3 linked regions of the Drosophila melanogaster genome follow. The protein of the gene in region 3 purifies or fractionates together with the protein of the main gene of each other region. This does not show direct contact. Each region holds a gene or a part of one and is shown on either strand. Other genes may lie near its edges.

Region 1 (6,714 bases), about 16 Mb from region 3:
TTGGTTCCGACTAGCAGTGCAAAAACGCGTAAGCGTAAGCCCGTTATCACAAAATCGATTTTTTCTTCCCAAGGGGCGGATAAGCTGCTCTTAGTCAGCCGTCGGCGGAGTCCTGCTGCCTAGCACCTGTGCACCTGCGACGAGACACTTGCTGGAGCCACTTACAGGTGAGCTTGGCGCATTGCGGCCCCTAATTTAGCTACTCTCGAATTTTAAAAAGCCTAAATTTGCTTTTTTGCTCGGTGGATAGTGTGACCGTTCGGATAACGATTAAAAATACCGTACGGCTGATGATTAAGTATACCACTAGGTAAAATGCGTTAAAATACCACATAAATTAATACCGTTAAATTAACGAACATTATTATTTTTTTAAAGTATAATTTTTTAAAATTCATTTGTCTATATTTATTCCTTTAACACTAAACGTGAAGAAAATTGTGTACTTTGAAACGGACGGTGCAGAACAGCAGTAGCTTATAAAAATGCAATGTTTCCGTTACCCTAACGGAACAGATAATGTTTAAAGTTTAAATTTTTAATTCTAATTCTTCTTTAATGAGTATATTTCCTGTATGGATCTCTAACTTAAGCTAGAACTTAGAGCAGACGAAGGCGGCAATTGGGGGCCCCGCACTGGCAGTACAACACCTTGCCGGGCACCACGCCCACCTCGTAATTGTAGTTCCAAGTCAGCTCGGTGCCGGAGCGGATGTGCGCGGCCGAGAAGAAGGCAACCCAGGGGAAACGCAGGTCGTGAGTATCCACGAACACGTTCTGCACGAAGAGATTGGGGCTGCACGAGTGCTGCGGGAGAAGAAGAGAATCAGCCACACGGCAAAATAACAAAAAACTTCCAACTCACGTTGAAATAGCGTCCAAGGTTGCCCGTTGTCTTGGCGTCCATGATGTAGGGCGCCTCGTCCTTGCCGAAAAGCCTCCGCACCGAGTTCTCCCGCACCGTCTCGTCCAGATCAGCATTTGGGTTAAAGTTGATCACCGCACGCTCCTGCGAGTCCAACTCGCTGCTCTGAGTGGAGCTGTTCTGCGTGGAGCCGCTTCTGGAAGAGCGCTTGATTTTGCGCTGGTAGTGATAGTTTGGCCGGAAGTCGTCATCGTCCTCGGCATCGGGTCCCCCGTTGTCCTCCTCGGCGTCCGGGTCCGAGTGGTCCACCTCCGACTCGTATCCCTCTTTTAACTGTTCAGCGACCTCTATGTAATCTAAGTCCGCGAAATACTCGTCGCCGGCGTCCTGTCCGCCTTCGTTGGCCATCGTCTCCGTGAGCAGATGGCCGGCGTAAATACAGATGAAAGCACCCTTGGGGATGTCGTTAACGCAGCGCAAGCCCCATCCACGATTTGAGGTCTTGAACACCTGCAGTTTCATCTCTAGGGAGAACTGCACCACCCGGTTCAGGCAATTCTTCTTGCACTTGCAGCGCGAGTTGCACTCGTAGATGCCGGTGGGCACGTGCTCGTGGAGCCGCTTGTACTGGTAGCCTATCTCCTCGATGGGTTTCTTCGGGTTACAGTACCGCACGCCCGCCACCGTTAGCTGCCAACAGGCGCACTTTGACTTGTCCTGATAGGGATACACAAAATAGTGGGCGGCTGGGTATAATTTGAGGTAATCAGATCTGTAAGACGTCTTACCGAGCAGTCGTCCTCGCAGTCGCAGCACAAGAGGAACTCCTCGTCCAGATTCAGATGAACACCCTCGGTAGGGATGCGCTGCTTCGCGTAGGTGCATGGGGGCGGCAGGGTGTTGTCGTAGTAGTTTACCAGCGGAATCGCCATCTTCTCCTGCCCCTTTGAAATGTCCGTGTCCTTCACGATCGAGGGATCAATGGAGTACTCGGCCAGACACTTGAGGTCGGGCGTAAAGTCAAAATTGTCTACGTTCAACACATTTTCAGTAGCTCGAAGGTACCTGTGAACTTCGGCCAGGCTGCGCAAGCTTTTGCCACAAGGTCCCTTGTATACCACAGACTTCTTGGTCTTCTGCCGCATGACAAGACGTTCCCAGCCAGAAAGCAGAGGCTTCGCTAACGGACTGTAGCTGTCCAGACGGTGAACGATCTTAAAGAGGCAGTTCGGGCTGCACTCGTGGCACTTGTACATTTTGGGAGGCAGATTCCGCTTGGCTGTAAAGTAGACTACATGGCCCTTGGGCCTGTTCTCGTCGTCCACGTAGATTGTCGAGTTGTTTAGGTGTCGCACAGCACTTGCGCTATTACTGGTGCTGACACCTCCTGCATTGGTGCGTCCTCCGGCTGGGGTTGCTGCCGAAGATGCAGCCGCTAATGCGTTATTTTGGGCGGAGGCGCTGCTCTTGCGGGCAAAGGCACGCATCTGCTGGTTCACCTTGCTGCTGGACTCCATCTCCTTGGTGTACCGAATAAAGGGCTCCGTGCGCTGAAAAAGAAAGACATTTTGTAGTTAGGACCGCAGGATGAATCGACACGATGCTTACTCTTGGGACACGCAGCTGCTGTGCGCTTGAACTGTTCATATTGTTCTGGGTTTCCCTGAAGACAGGACCCAAGCGCAATGAACCCCTGTATATCCACTCCGTATGGTTTTTGTCGCCCTCAAACTGCATCAACACCAAGCTGCAGTCGATGTCAATGACGCGCGCGTACAGCCAGGTCCCGTTCGATTCAGTGGTCATACTTTGTCCCCGGGTGCATTGCACCATTGGACGATCCACGGAGTACTTCTCCACGTACTTCTGTATGAAATCGCGCGATGCGGCGTGTACGTCCTCCCACACTTTCTCGGAAGCCTGGCAAACTAGACGGACATCGCGGTGCGGAACGTACTGAGTGTACCCATCGTCGTAGAATATTAGGTAGCGGTAGCGATTGGCCTGCTTCAACGGCTCAGCGATGATGCCTGGATAAAAGGCGCTCTGCACCACGCCCTTATCCTTGCCCCGCGACAAAGTGGTGCCATCGAAGTACGCAATCACGCGGGTACCTAGTGCACAATGAGTGGGTTAGTTTATAGATTGATAAATAACCGGTCTATTGGGAACTAACCAATGGTCAGTCGCACTGGCGGTGGTTCGAAGTAGGCAATGTGCTTGGCCGTCACTGTCTTGATCATCTGGTACGGAGTGTTGAGGTACCTAATCTTGTAGCTCTTCATCGTGTTTCCGTTGATGGCGGTGCTCTCTGTAAACTCGATTACCTTTATGGACACCCAGCTGGCAATAGCCTTGTTCTTAACAGCGTAGTATGTCTCTCCCAACTGTATTGGAGGACGCACGATTTCGCCAGGAGGTGGAACTTCATGCTGAGTAAATGGTTGTATTAAATCAGATCCAAACGGCATCACTTCTTACTTACCACATAGTCACTGGGTTCAATGTCCAGGGTGGGCAGATGTTTGTGTGCCACCGGACACGAGTTATACAAAGCGCAGTGCATTTTGTCAGCGGTGGTCTGAACTTTTTCGAGTTCCACATCTGCCAGTGCGAATTGTCGCTCCAAGTGGTCTGCTTTCGCCTGGAGAATAGTTTTTGACCAGGACAGCTGAGCCGTAAAATCCACCTTGTTAAGTACATTTTTGATGGCATCATCGAGTTCATCTTCGATGAGCTGCAGCTTGTTTTTCGAAAAGTCCGATTTTTCTGTGCGGATAAAATATATTTAGTACGTTTTTTTTTTTGCTATTGTTTATTTATCATGATAGCAGTCTCACCTGGCTGCTTCTCCTCTTCCTCCTCATCGCTGCTGTCCAGAGCCACAAAGTCGGCGTGATCCTGATGGAAATCCTTTAGCAGCAGCGGCTGCTTGGCCATTAGTTGTCCAGCATACTCCTAAATAAAGAAATACGTTCTAAGTTTCCCTCTTAAGTTAATAAATATGCTAGTTGACCTCATACAAGTCCATTGCTGTGTCATGGCATCCCATGCAGAGGAACTGCTGCTTGGAAGACTTTCGGAGCACCTGGTAAAAGTTTAAAGTGGCCATGTTAGCCAACACGTACTGTTTATGAAGCTTTGTGCAATTGCAGTTGACACATTCCTTGTCGTAGAAGACATCTCCATCTGATAACAAAGCGTTCAGCTTCTCGTCTTCTGCAGCTTTCGGAGCAGTGCCCTTTTCAAGCTCCACCTCTAGGACATCGTCTTTTTTATCAACAATTTTGTGTTCTTCGATTTCCGTTAAGCTAATACGCTTGTGACCTTTTAATGTATTCTCAATTTTGTATTCTTCTGCTGGTCGACTTATTGACTCCTCGACGTCCTGATCTACCTCCATGCCAGGAGGTTCTTGCTCATTTTCCTTATTGGTCTTTTCATCTTTTTCAGGAAAACTTTCGGATGTGGGACTGCTGATGCTGCTATCAGTCATTTCCTCGGCCTCTTTAGCCGCAGCTTCATTGACAGCATCTGGTTTTGGCGGATCTTTCTCACTTTCGTTGGCGGAGGAGAATTTGACAGGACTCTCTATTAGCTCAACACTGCTGTCCGAATCCACAGCTACCAAAACCGGGCTGCTTGCAATGGCTTTCGTGTTCTCTCCCTTGCGGTCCTCCGATTCGTCGGCCAACTTTCCAGGTTCATCAGGGGCCTTACCTCCATATGGGCACTGCTTCCTGGTTGAACCGGTGGCGGCGATTGCTTCACTGTGTGTCAGTTCCTCAATTTCCACATCCTTTGCGGCTTGTTCTGCAGGAGACTCCAAGCTATTTTCTCCTTTGCGCACCGGCAACCCGTAACTTTTTTCCCTCGACGCCGGTGTTTCTTGGACATCCTCCACTGTGCTTCCACTGCTCTCTAAGCAGTCCACGGCTGTTGGCTGCCCAGACATAGTTTTAATGAGTTTACTTAACTTTACACATTAATGCAAATTTGCGAGACAAGCGATAACATTGTATAAAATTTCGCTCGTAATTTGCCAGCCCTAGATTTTAGTGGCAGAAAGAAGAAGAGTGTCTATTCACACAAAAGAAAAAGAACGGAAATTCAAAATGTTCGCTGCTGCAATGGATTTAATTTTTTATTTCGGTCTTCGGGAGTGGGTCCTGTTCATTAGGCCTCGACGACCTTTGGGTGGTAGCCGGTTTCATCGGCGGTGTAGACCACTTTGACGGTCTTGCCGTTGGGGGCCACGTACTCGTACTCCCCGGAAACCACCCAGTTGTCGTGCTCCTTCAAGGCTCCAGTTTGCACGGCGCGAATATGGTTGGATAGCTCATAAGCGTAGTTAAAGTCCAGCAAGTTAACCTCGGAGTCGCTCTTTACAACATCAGCCTCCTCGTTGGCGAAGACCACGGCCAAAAGGCAGGCAAGAACGATCTAAAAGACAAATCGTTGTTCAGAGGTCCCCAAAATCTAATTTCGATGCCACTTACCACAAACTTCATGGTTGGAAAGGGGATGTGTGTGCTGATAGATAGCGATAAAATTTTGACTGCTGGTTGCCGAAAATTGCGCTTTTATATGTAGCTCTCCACTGACATTTTACCGGCCGGAATCACCAACTGCATAAATTTTCTTCATAACTGGCTCCCAGCGGTCGTTTGTCTTAATTAAACAAAAGACATAGATGCAGTCATTCTGCAGGCATTAATTATCGCCCCACTCGGCATATCATATTCGGGGGGTTATCTTTGGAGATCTGTGCGGAAGATTCCCAAAACAACCACGTTCATCAATTGTCAGCACCGCACGATTAATTTTTAGCTGATAAGAGCTAACCGGTTCCTTCGATGCTAACGCCGATTAGCATTATTTTCGCATAACTCCATTAGCAGTCTGATTTTGCTCCCGCAGTTGCAACCGGTTTCTAACAAGCTGCGATTGCAATATGGCCTGGGATTTGAATTTCTTGGCGCGCAATTAGCCAGTGCTGGAAAATGTCTGGGACCGCACAGATTTGCCATTCAGAGGGAATCCCACGTGGTGGTGTCTGCGTATCGGTGTGCACTGCAATCTCCCCCAGAAATATCACGATGGCCAGTGATTCTGGCAGCGATTATGAGGTGGAGGCTTTCTTCAATCCCAAGCGAGTTCAACGCACAGTCAACGACGACAGTGCGGATCTATTGGGAAACTTCGATGACCAGAAGCGAAGGGAGATCTTCGAGGGCACGTATGTGGACAAGGAGGACGGACGGAATCCCAGTGACCCGGAGGATAGTAAGAGCGAGGATGAGGCCAAGTCCGACGACGAGGCAGCCGCTGAGGGCAGTGCTGCTTCCGGAGCCGAGGAAGAGGAATCTGCGGAAAATGGGCAGATAACCAGTGACCAGCTGAGTTCACTGCTTCGAGGAGCCTCCAAAACCAACAGACACGTCCTGTACGTGACGAACCTGAACTTCGAAACCACAAAGGACGACCTGGAGCTGCACTTCTCTGCGGCAGGCACGGTCAAGTCTATCCGCATTCCCAAGAAGCGACGAGGGGGCTTCGCCTTTGTGGAAATGGCCGACCTAAGCAGTTTCCAGAATGCCTTCCAGCTGCACAACACAGAGCTGCAGGGACGCAACATCAAGGTGCAGATCTCCGAGGCGGGCAAGAAGAAGTCGGCCAACAAGAAGAACATCATCAAACAGAAGAACCGAAAGCTGGCCGAGATGCGCAACGAGCAGAAGACCTTCACGAAGAGCGGCAAGTTTTACGACAAGGACCTGAAAAAGGAGAAGGCCAAGGAAATGCTGGCGCGAAAGCGGTGGCGCAAAAAGCCCGCCCCCAGACCCACA
Region 2 (4,644 bases), on a different chromosome or scaffold from region 3:
AACTTTATGTTATACATACACGTGACCCTTTTCGATATCGAGTAAATTAGCCAATTCATATTTTCCAGTGCAAATTTACAAAGTTAAGCGGAAATTACTGTGGCAGTTGGGTCTTAATATCTTAGAGGTGAAGTCAATTGAATCGAAAGTAAAGATACAAGATACTAATTTAAGAGATTGATCGCATGTATCAAAAAGGACTTTACCACATTTCTTCTAATCAAGTGATTAAATTATAAGATATTAGGTATCAGAGTTTAGATAATCCTGTTGTCCGAGGACTTTCTCTAGCAGATTTCGGACTTTGATCAAGATTTAAGATCAATCTGTATTGGGATTGAATATCAAACCCAACTAAGAACTCACAATTGAAATGGAAAAATGTAACATTAGATACATTAAAAAAAAGAAGAAAATAACATAAAATTTCACCACAAATATTCGGTTTTGAGTCACTAATATTTTTCCAAGTAGTATGATTCACGTAAAGTACATTACGTGATAATAATAAATATAATTAGTATGCTAATAATTTACTTAAAACGTGTAACACTTATTTAAAAAACATAAATTTGGAAAAGCTTTAGGAAAAAATCATGTTGTAGGAATCTAAGGGATCTTTAAAGAATTCTATAATTATTTTTACGATCGACGTGTCAAAACCATGATCTAATCTCAATGATTCATTTCTAAATAACAATAAATCAGCAATACATGCATATGTTTAATGCAAAAACTCAAATATATACTATATCATATCAACTTGAGTATACAGTTTAGTTCTTTGGTGAAAAATCTACAATCTATGATGACAGCGTCATTGCGAGTTGGATTTTAACACATACATATGGAAACCCCATTATTAAACTCATAAATTCACATGGCAACAAAGAAATACAAAGCATAGTTAACAATCATTTGCTGTTTTTGACCTGAATTTCTCACCTTAATCATTCGCTGCAGGTTAACTTGGTTGGTTCAACTTATAGCCAGATAACTAAGGTGTGATCTTCAATCCTCGGCAGTCTCGTCCTCCTCGTCCTCGTTGAAGGACAGCTTACTACTGGCGGCCTTGGACTTCTTGCTCTTGGATGTGCTGGATTTTTCGGACTTCTTGTTGGTTTCAGATTGGGACTCTTTTTTCTCGATGTTGGGCTGCTTGACACAGTGTTTGAAGACTATTGGCTGCGTCAGATCCGCTCGCTTTTCGGCTAATTCTGGAAGATTGAAAATGGGAGTTAGTTATGGGTCAGCAATCATCTGTACTTATTATGATCGTAGTAAAGCGTGTAAGTAAACACCTATTTACAAGTTAAATGGAGTATTTAAGTTATATAAACTATCTTAGAATGAAAAATATTTTGGGGAAAGTAGTATGCACAAATTTAGGGAGAAAAATGCCAATACATATATCAAAGCTGATATAAATAAAATAAATTTAAAAATTGCATTAACTAAAAGGAATACAAGAAAGTTTTTGAAAATTGATCTGCTTATAAAATTGCCAGGAAGGTGACTAATATGCCAGCAATTCATTATTGGATTGGAAAATGTATCTGGGTTTTAAAAACTGCAGCATGACAAATGGGGAGGAGGGAGGTGTAAATCAGAACAAGCCACCCACCGACCCCCCCCTTTTCCAAGCAGCACCCACAAGATGTTTTTCTCGGCCCTGGGAAGCCCCTTCTCGCCCGACGCTCCCGCTTCACTCCCCCTCCCGCTCCACCCACTGATTCGCAACCCGCCCCCGCTGTTCCGCCAGCCCCTTCTTCAACGCCTACCCCCTCCCCGCAGCGCCTTTGCCACCGCCACCACGTCGTCAAGCCACTTTGGCCCGCTCTTTTCCTCTTTGCTCGCCTGCTTCGTTCATCATTGTCTCTCCGCTTTGCCCGCCTCCTTCATCCGTTCGTTCTTGCACACGTTGTTTTCACCCGATTTTCTGCGCTCTTCCAAGTGGGGCTGAAAGGGGCAGGGGGGCGAGCGGAAGAGGCGGACAAAGCGAGCGGCGGCAGCTGCTGTTGTTAACTTCTTTGCCGGCTGCTTTATCGCCGCGCCCGCTTTGCCAACGATTTTCATCACATGCTCTGCTTTGGCGGAGCCCCCAATGAAAATGTCAGTGTGTATGCCTCGTCGGCTAGCTGCTGCGGGTGTGTGTGTCTGTGTGAGGGGTGCTCCGCTGGGCAAAAAAGGGAATCTTTAGGACGGAAATGACCAAGATTGCCATGGCAACATAGGGCTTTAAAAAGATTGAAAAACCGAAGGTGCTTTTCGAAAAAAAAAACACATACTTCTTGCAACAAACTGCTGTTTTCGCACTACCGTTAGATTTTCATTTGGCAAAAATGCACAAGCACACGCGCGCACTCATACATAAGCAACGGTATATACGCAGTTATGTATATATACATATATGATTTAGATATATGTAACGCCGGGCAGAAGAAGACAACCGCTCGATTCTGACTGAAAAGTTAAACTGAAAGACAAACTACAACATCCTACCTACGCACACACGTGCAACTGCCGCCGCCGCCACCGTGGGCTATATGCATGTGTGTGTGCGTGTGCGAGCGTGTAAGTATGTATGTACTACAGCGATATGTATGTATGTATGCTTGTACATATGTACCGACCTTTGGAGGCCAACAGTTTCTCCGTTTTGGCCTCTTCGGCGGATAGATCTCCCGGCCTAAGGACGACCACCTGCGGCTGTTCGTCCTCCCGTGAATCTTCCTCAGAATCGTAGTCCTCCTGGTCCTGCGGATCCAATCGCTGACGCTAACCAATGGTTATATATCCGCATTAGAATGCTGCAGAGGCCTTCCCCGTAGAACTCACCTTGGTCTCTACGGTGGGTCCCTCCTTGTAGCCAATTTCAGCCTTCAACTTGGCCAGAAAACTAGGTTCTTGCGGCTTTACGTACGTTATGTTGCGCTTGGACATATCAGATATGGCGGCTATATCATTGCACTTCTTGACCGATTTAGCAGCGGTTTTTGCACTTTTTATTTACCACAAATGTCGATAAGAAAAACATATGCTTATCGAGCAGTGTGGGAAAGCGCGCGTTGACAATACTAAATCGATTTCAACTGCTATACTTTAAAGTAACGTAAGACAATTGTAAATCCAGTTTTAATAGTTATAATGTTAAAGTTTAAGCTTGCTCTTTTAATATTATTAGTCCCAATTTTTGAGTCCTTGATATTTATCGATAGCACCGATAAGTAACAGCTGTACTGCCGTGTGCATAGTGCTGCCTGAAAACCAATTGTAGATGGGCAGCACTGTTAGGCAAAAGCGGTTACTTTTTGAAAATGCTTACTGTTGATAAAGAGTTAATATTTCTTAAAAATTTCTATAAATATATAATATTTATCCTATTATTTTTGATGCATTTCTTTAAGTATCTTAAGTTCCCATTTCCAACTGGCATTTCCGCTGAGAAAACCGATTGCCCCGAGACGTGCCATCAATTTGCGAATCCTCGCTGCCAATCAAAAAATGGGCGCATAAAACTGTCGCATAACTTGCAAATTTTCCGCTTCACCTGGAATTCCGTGCTCCAAAACAGAAATTTGATCGCTTCTGACAGCAAAACAATACACAGCGGCATTCATCAACGTCAGTGGCTTCCATTTGCAATGTCGTATGCACAGACTCCTCCTCGATTGAAGCCCCCTATTCGTTCCTGGGAACATAATAAATCATCTGCAAATTGATTTCAAAACTTCGACAGCTAACCAAAAAAGAGCTGCCGAAAAAAAAAGGCAAATGAAAACTGCAGCAAAGCGGAGAAATTTTATGAGCTGCAGCATATGTTGGCAAAAACACAAATAGGATGCACTGAGAAAACAGCGTTTCATATATTTAGTTTAGTTATAAATAAAATACGTGAGAGGAGCTAAACAAAAGTTTTTTTTTTTTGGTTTTTTTTTTGCATAAACCCAAACAAATATCTGTAGACTGACAGATAGAGAAGAATTAAATTAGTGTCATATCCAGTGAAAAATATGACAATAAAACATAAATTTATATTTCAAATATATTCCTTTTGTTTTTCCGTGAACGAATTCCCCATGAAAAACTCCGATTTCTGCATTCTGGCACGCGGCAGCAGCTTTTCCCCCGAAGGATTTTCGTCGGTCCCCGAACTAATATCAAATTGATAGCTTTTAAATTTGATTTCGCGTCTTATCACCGACCGCTTAAGCGAACAGTTTCGGAGCTGCAGCCCCCAATCGCTACGCAATCCACAGCGATGGTTGGAAAAACAAATGGAGTGTGGCCGGGTGGAGGGAGCACCCCCTCATGCATTAAAAATGAGGATGGCAGGGCATTTGATGCTGTGCAAGTGCAACGTGGCGTATGCTTGTTGTGTTTTGTTTTGCTCGCTTTGCGTCCGCATTGAAAATACATTGAAAATGCCGGTGCAACACAAGTGTTTCGGCCTTGATACGGATACGATGCTATATGCTGGATATAGAGTCATCCATCCGACCGTCCCATTCAGAATCCATAGGCTTCAAGTCACATGCCGGCCAACTAATATCGAGCACTCTTGAGAACGCAGAGCCTCAGGAAAATGTTATCACAGTCTGCATCCGGCACGGAGTCCTCCGCCTCTGCCGAAGTGCAACTCGG
Region 3 (7,142 bases):
CAATACTATGGACCTTTAATGCCATATGCCATTCCGCCCTGTCTTGCAACGTAACTTAAATGCGAGGACTGCAACACCCTCCAACTGCACACAGCACCGCCTCCAATCCGTACAGAATCCGTAGTTTAACTAAAATAACTTAACTACTTTAAATTTTGGTGCCGCGACTGGCCGCCGCCTGGCATGCATCCTTTCATTTCGCTTTCCTCATAGTGTTCATTGCGCTGACCGCTTCAATGGAAAATAAATTAATTGCGTTTCCTATAGTAATTGCTAATTAATGCTGGTGCTAGTTTGTGTATTTGCAATATCTAGGAATATTTCAGTTGCTGTGTGGTGTGGCGTGTGTTGCTGAGAGCGCTGGCAAAGCGTAACACAACTAACTACTCGAGACGACACGAATAAAAGACACGGGACGTAAGCAAAGTGTTTTGGTGTGAGCCAACTGAAAAAAGGGGCAGCAACAATCTGGCCGATGGGGGAGCACATGGATTCATTCGGGAACAGGGGACCCTCTCCTACAAAACCTGTCTGTTATGCCTGCGTCCTGCAACACAAGAATTACAAGCATCAGTTGGTGGCTCGCGATTGATAGAGTATGAATAATGAGGTGATGCAAGGCGGCGAATCGAACGCCGAAGAATAGCCTCTAAGGTAATATGTGGCCGTGCGCCACCGGAAGTGAAACCGAAAACAGAAACTGGACGGGCCAATATAGGGACCATAACAGTAAGAGACCGCGAGCCGCGAGATGTGCGATTAATGTGTGTGGGATGTGGGTCCTGCCTACGGGCCGGCATTCTGGCTCTGGCCGGAGGACGCCGTGGCAGCTGCAGCAGCCGCAACCGCAGCCAGATCCAACAGTTGGAAGTGCTTTTGATCCGCGACCGCAGCAGCCAGGGATTCCAGGAGGGAGGCATGGACGGCTGCCGTCGCTGGCTGCTCGTGCTGTTGCTGCTGCAGTTGCTGCTCTGAGACTGTCTGCTTCTCTGGCGATTGGCGGCTGGCCTGCTGTTCTGGGGATTCTACGAGTTGCATCGGCGGCAGCATGGACGGGTCACACAAAAAGATCAGGGGAAGAAGAGAAAGAGAGAGAGAGAAAGAAAAAAGACAAAGAAATGCACAAGTTACTTGAATTAGTTTAGTTATTATCATCATATAACCTTGGGTTTAGGTTAACACAACAACAATCGGAAAAGAGGCTCTCAACAAAAACCTTCACTAACAAACTGGCATGATTTATTAAAATTATCACTTAAAATAAGAGTACATATCGTGAAATAATTTAGATTCGGTGACAACAGAAAATACATTGAAAATGAATTAGGACAAATGGTGGTATAAAACCGAAAAATACTCTATTAACTTTGCTTAGCCGACGTTTGGGCGCCTTGAGCTCTCTGGCTTGGGTTTTCTGTAAGAATGTTCTGATTAAGTATGGGATTCTTGTTCCAAACCCGAACCATTTCACAATCGATCGACGGAAAACATACCGTGGGCGCAGCCAAACTCCTAAATGAACACGCTTGTAAAGCTCCTCCGCTTTCTGAGGTTTTTTAAAAACATTACCACCTACAATACAAGCAACGAAAGCGGATAGAGTCAATTTATAGCCTACTTAGTCTATACAAGTTTTGGCTAGGGGATTTTACGAAATCTACGGAAACCTTTTCGATGCTGGACTCCGTAGATCTAACACAAAATTATCATGATAAATAGCCCTTCTGGTCACTTTTTTGAAACATAAACATATGTTTGTACATACTACACGTAAAATTGGGTTAATTTTAACTGGGTGTACTCATACTAAAATCAAATGATGCACTAAAGTCATAAGCGGAATCGGGGACCTAATTATATTTGAATAACAATAAGTGATGATGAAGTCAGAATCATATGTAACATATATGTAATTTTCATTTTGGACAATGTGAATACTCTTTCGAACTTTTGCAGTTAAAATTTTCTAATATTATTTAAGACAATTGATGCACCAAAAAAATACTTTTACGTTAAATGATGTCCTAGAGGTGTGCCGTAAAAGGTGAACCGAAACCTAAATGCTTGATCTTGTTAGGATTTCATTCCTTTGTCTAAATTATTGGTGCCGAAGCGTGGTTGAGTCAGTGTGGATGTATGTAAATGGGATGTGTATGGATTCTTATAACTACTTTACCCTAGGGTCTACAATTAGCAATTTGTAAACATAAAGATTTCTTGGCTATACAGAGATATAATTCTCGTTACTGGCTTATTGCAAAAAGGGATCCAACGTACCGGATTGCTGGGGCTGCTGTGCCGGGGTATAGGCACGTTGGCCGCCACCGCTGCCGTTCGACGTGGAACTGGCGACGGCTTGCTTGGCGGGCGGACGACGCTTAGCCAGCGGCATGTCGTCGTCTGAATCGCTTAACGTTAGGTCAACCTGTTGCGCAGACAGAATACAGTCATATGATAAGACAGTTTGGTAGGTTGTAGATTGGTGCTCTCTACTTACAGTTTCACTGTTTGACGTTGATGTGGGCTGTTCGTCCTGTGCTGGGGACAAATCCCTCTTTACTGGCTTGGCGTCATCCGAGATAAGTTCTGGTAATGTCCGAAAAACTTGATTAATGTCAAAACAATTTAAAAGGTTGCGTGTTAGGCGATTACCTATGTCATCCGATATAACCTCAACCTTTTGGGCGGGCTTTGAAGGCGTATCAAGGATCTGCGTCTCGCTCCGTAGTCCTGGTGTGCTCCAAGATCCATCCTGATGAAGTTGAATCTCAGTATCATCACTCTTTAGAAGCGACGAGCCCAACACCTCCTGGAAGTAGCTGGAAAACAGAGTTTAATCAGTTACAAATATGCTAAATGAAATGACATTTCTTACCCATCTATGACCAGGTTGTCATAAATGGCCGGCTTGTCGCATACAGGGCAGTTCCACGTGGGCTTACGCTCATTCATTTGCAGGTAGAGACTGGCATCGAAGCATTGCAGATGCGAGCAGGTTGATGCTCGACAAGGCAGCAACATTTTCATCTTGCCCAACGGGCAGTTAAGGGAAACCTTCAGCATAGTGGTGGCTATTTCGCAGTCAGCATCCTCAGTCAGCTTCTCTTTGACTTTAAAAAAATGGTATTTATTATTAAGTTTGCATCATTGGAGCACAGAAAACTCACTTAAGCCTCGCGTGTAGTCCGCTGGTTTTACGCCCTTCGTCTTCATTCGCTGCAAAAGCTGTGTTGAGGTGAGCTTCTTTACCAGGTATACGGCCAGACAGTAGCTACGAGTGTAGTCCGGACACCACTGAACCGTTATGGTGTTGGTGACGGTAGGCGACAGCTTTACATTGGACGTGACATTAACGGGTCGCGGCGGACGCTTGGGCTCCACATTTGGTCGGTTTGTAGGAATGACATTCTGCATTGGAATAAAGAGCAGGATATTATACCAGGTCCTGATTGGATAATCGGATAATACTTACAGGCAGCTGACAGAGTTTGTTGTTCACTTTGACGTTTACGTTCGGCGGGAAGCAGTCCTCCTGGTCGCACGAAGTCTCCACCAGGCAAAAGCGCAGTTGAACCTGAATGGCGTGCTCCACCTTGGAGCTGTTGCGAATGTCGCGATTAGAGGCAATCTCGGTGGCCTGCTGCGGCGTGAGCGTGAAGTAGAAAGGCACCTCTTGGACGCGCTGAGTGTTGCGTGGCACCAGAGTTGAAGGCTTAATTAGCGTTCCGAGTACATCGTAGAAGGCTAGCTTTTTCAGCCGCACATCGGGGTGAATAGGCAGCTGGCTGTTGATGCTGTGTGTGTGGAGGAAGGGTGCGCCGCCGACCACATTCATCTGGCCGCCGGGCACTTGCACACCTTGGCCGCTGCCCACGAGGCCCACGGGATTGGGCTGCACGGTGGGCGGCAGCTGGATGTGCGAGTACATCCTGGTTGGGTCGATGTACTGCAGCGTGGCGTTTTGTTCCTGCACGGACTGGGCGTAGACTTCCTGGACCTTCGGGGCAAGCAGTTCCAAGTTGGTGCGCAAGAACGAGAGGATGCGGCTCTGCAGGTCAGTTTTTCGTCCAGCGAATGAGATGTTCAGAAACGACAGGATTTTTTGCAGCTCGACCACTCGAAGCATCTGCACCATTTGCTCACATTCCTGAAGAGACGGAAATGGCATGGCGAACAATGAAAATTTTGTATTTCGGAAAATTGGGAAGGTGTCTATGTCCAAATAGCGGGACTTAGCACCAAGCGTCCACACGAACACACACACAAGCGCGCTCTATATGCAAATATCGCGTTTTCGCACATATGTACACATGCGTATGCCTTGTGCGGCTTTATGCAGAAAAAATCATAAATTCGCTCTACATTATATGCCAAGTGATTGCTTGACAGTCGGACAAAAGCCTGGCTTCCACATTTTTCCCATCTGTGGATAATTTACTGGTCCGAAACTGCCGCATGCCACCAAATCATTACCTAGATGCTCAAACATGGCGTTCTCGCAAAAAGTTTCTTTTCGTGGAACCGATCGGGTTTCAGTGGCTTTTAACGTTGGTATATGCAGAAAATTTGGTAAGGCTTGTGTTCGCCACTGGCAGCCTTCCTTCTTTCGCAAATTGCACTTAAACAAACTACCGCAAAAATGCCCCCTTTTTTGTCACACGAATTTTGTTTTGTCCGCACGGTCTGAAGAAATATGGCGGATGATAGTGTTGTTAAGCGCCGGCGGATTTGGCTGGCAAATCACTCTGTTCGTGGGTGGGGAAGGGTACAGACACCATTTTTTTCTGCGGTCACACTGCTTATCAATAACCATGGCCCCCATATTTATGAAAAATTCTTTGGACTGAATAAACTGAGACTGGCGGAAACATACCTTGTACTTGGTGGAATCAAAGGGATTAACTGCTATTGGCGCTGACGAAGTCGACTGGTGCCCGGGGCTCGAAGATGTTGCGGCATTTTCCGCCTGCGTGCGAGCCGTCTGAGAGCGGGTCTTTCGCATCACTATTATTTTCTATTCACGGTGGCGTTAGGCGTTCGGCAATTGAAGTCGCGGACTCGTTTGCATTTGCCTGGGACGCGCACCACACATAAAAACAAGCAATTGCCGCTGTTTTTCAACGAATGCGGAGAAACAAAAATATTTTACGCGGCGTCGTCGCTGTGGGCCGACTAGAGTTGACACTATCGATCGACACTGCGGAAATCTCTACCGCCTGGCCGAGTCTTGTCTCACGCAGCCCGAAAATGCCCTAACGCGTGCGTTTGTTTACTTTGTTAGCAACCGTTACTTTCGTAGATTCCTAATTCGCTAGGCATTTATTTAATTGTACAAATATGGGTCTATCTATGCAAGAATAGTATAAAAGGGGCCCGCCGCTTGGCGTGGGCCTAGAAAAAGTCCATGTCCCCGCAATTGACGTCCAGAAAGTCGTGGTCGTAGCTGATTAAATCCTTCAGCGGCGCTCCCTGAGCCGCCGCCGCTGCTTTGGATGTGGAGGGAAGTTCCGCATTGTCCACAAGATTTATATTGATCTCGTGGGTCCTGTACTCAGGGCTGTCGTGCTCCTGCTCAGCGCCAACAGGGGAGGGTGGCGGGTTGGACACTGAAATAGTCAAAATAGTCACATAGGAGATTTAACAATAATAATGGGATCTTCTTACAGCTGCCCGGTTGCTTATCTTCACTTTGCTCGTCGCCCTGCATGTAGTACTCTTTGCGCTGATTTAACGTCGGCAGTTCCGTAACCTGCTTGCTGAGGCACTTCTTCAACTCTTCCACCTTACGGTCCCGCATCAACGTTTCGATCTGCTTTCGAGACTTGCTCAGACTCTGGCGATCCTCACTAAAAATGCGCTTCTGCTGCTCCTGAGTGATGTTATCGTGGTGCTTTATTAGGAACAGGAATACCCCGCCTGGTGTACGTCTCCGTATGCCGTTCTGTTTCGAGGTATCGTGTTAGTATATTCGGGGGAACATCCTTTACTACTTACTTTGATCATCATGCCGCCATCGGCTTCAATGCGCTGAGTTTCCTTGTATAGCTCTAGGCACACATCTATGCCAAGAACCTCCACGACTCGAACTGGTAAAACTGGCATTATTTACTAAGTAGGGCATTATTTATTTCACATACTCACCAAGTAATTCGTCCTTTTCCTCGTACAGTTTGCTGGCCATTTCGGTAGCCACATCCGAAGGATCTCTCTCACCCACTTCGTTTAAGTCCAGAATGTGTCTGGGCTCGCAGAAATCGGAAGATCCGCTGGCCGAAGATGTCCCACGACGTGACCGGTGACCCGTTCTACTCTTGACCAAACCGCGCTGTTGATTCCCGGTGATGGGCCGACTAGAAGGTCTTCCCCTCTTGTGAGCTGGATGGGAGCATTCGCCGCCGTCCTCCGAAGAGTTTGAGAGTCGTCGCTTTAGAGTGTTCTCGCCGTTCAGCCGGTATCGCAATGAGAAGTCGTAGTTTTCAACATTTCGATCCCGACCGCTTCGGGTAACGTCGCAGCCACGCATATTCTCGCTGAGCGCATCCTCTTGCAGGGCAGAAGCCCACACGTTGTACTTCTTGAAACGGGCTCGATTCGGTTGCATTTCAGCATCCGTGGGCGGAACGCGCCGCATTACCGTGCGCCGAATGCGCTTTTTCCGCTTCTTGTGGCCGTCGGGTCCGGTGGATTCCGTACGAAGCTTCTTGATGCACCCGTCCTCGGAGGATTCGGCAGTCGAGGAGTCGCTGTTGCTTTGTGACTCGTCCTCTAACGCAGTCTGGATCTGATGGCAGGTGGTAAGGGGACTGGCCACCTTCTCCGCACCGTCAGGTCGCTGCAACGGCGTGTAAACGCCATCATCGTCGCTCTCCGATAGCTGAAAGGCCGGCAGATATGGTCATTAGATGCTCGGTAGTCTGGGTGCTTATGATTACCTCGCCGTCCTCCAGGTCAACGTCATTTGCGTGCAGTTCCATCATTTTTTTTATGGCGAGTCGAGAGAAAATCTTCGCCCAAAGTGCAGCTGTTTGTGCAACACTGAGCGGCAGAGTGACCATACTTACTGAGGATTACTTGGTGCATAGTTAAATTATTATGTTTATATTATTGGTCTTTAATAGTGCAAAGATGTAAATTAGATTAGC

What was found. Proteins that work in one complex are often made in the same cells at the same time.
Region 1: the proteins of Su(var)2-10 (region 3) and egg purify together in Drosophila melanogaster (affinity purification with western blotting; 2 studies listed by BioGRID). This does not show direct contact.
Region 2: the proteins of Su(var)2-10 (region 3) and MEP-1 purify together in Drosophila melanogaster (affinity purification with western blotting; one study listed by BioGRID). This does not show direct contact.

What each region holds. Positions count from the first base shown.
Region 1 is NT_033778.4:24,774,994-24,781,707, forward strand, and holds egg (eggless), read right to left. Parts: upstream 4,909-6,714; 5' UTR 4,821-4,908; coding exon 3,882-4,820; intron 3,824-3,881; coding exon 3,706-3,823; intron 3,635-3,705; coding exon 3,351-3,634; intron 3,298-3,350; coding exon 3,042-3,297; intron 2,980-3,041; coding exon 2,474-2,979; intron 2,416-2,473; coding exon 1,654-2,415; intron 1,583-1,653; coding exon 866-1,582; intron 808-865; coding exon 601-807; 3' UTR 541-600; downstream 1-540. Other genes in the region: Lcp9 (larval cuticle protein 9), read right to left, coding at 5,042-5,308, 5,365-5,376; CG3594 (uncharacterized protein), read left to right, coding at 5,965-6,714. UniProt on the Drosophila melanogaster protein: Histone methyltransferase that specifically trimethylates 'Lys-10' of histone H3 (H3K9me3) in ovary. H3K9me3 represents a specific tag for epigenetic transcriptional repression by recruiting Su(var)205/HP1 to methylated histones.
Region 2 is NT_037436.4:2,630,111-2,634,754, reverse strand, and holds the start of MEP-1 (MEP-1), read right to left. Parts: upstream 3,041-4,644; 5' UTR 2,944-3,040; coding exon of another isoform or gene 2,839-2,943; exon of another isoform or gene 2,779-2,838; coding exon of another isoform or gene 2,634-2,778; intron 2,481-2,633; exon of another isoform or gene 2,289-2,480; intron 1,218-2,288; coding exon of another isoform or gene 1,012-1,217; 5' UTR 946-1,011; intron 1-945. Other genes in the region: CG42245 (uncharacterized protein), read right to left, coding at 1,012-1,217, 2,634-2,778, 2,839-2,943.
Region 3 is NT_033778.4:9,114,183-9,121,324, reverse strand, and holds Su(var)2-10 (suppressor of variegation 2-10), read right to left. Parts: upstream 5,204-7,142; 5' UTR 5,003-5,203; coding exon 4,874-5,002; intron 4,708-4,873; exon of another isoform or gene 4,169-4,707; coding exon of another isoform or gene 4,148-4,168; coding exon 3,473-4,147; intron 3,409-3,472; coding exon 3,168-3,408; intron 3,111-3,167; coding exon 2,876-3,110; intron 2,820-2,875; coding exon 2,653-2,819; intron 2,587-2,652; coding exon 2,498-2,586; intron 2,438-2,497; coding exon of another isoform or gene 2,426-2,437; coding exon 2,278-2,425; coding exon of another isoform or gene 2,252-2,277; exon of another isoform or gene 1,573-2,251; coding exon of another isoform or gene 1,494-1,572; exon of another isoform or gene 1,415-1,493; coding exon of another isoform or gene 1,372-1,414; exon of another isoform or gene 1,220-1,371; intron 1,026-1,219; coding exon 787-1,025; 3' UTR 548-786; coding exon of another isoform or gene 519-547; 3' UTR 509-518; downstream 1-508. Other genes in the region: Phax (phosphorylated adaptor for RNA export), read right to left, coding at 5,392-5,606, 5,665-5,941, 5,995-6,086, 6,142-6,874, 6,933-6,977.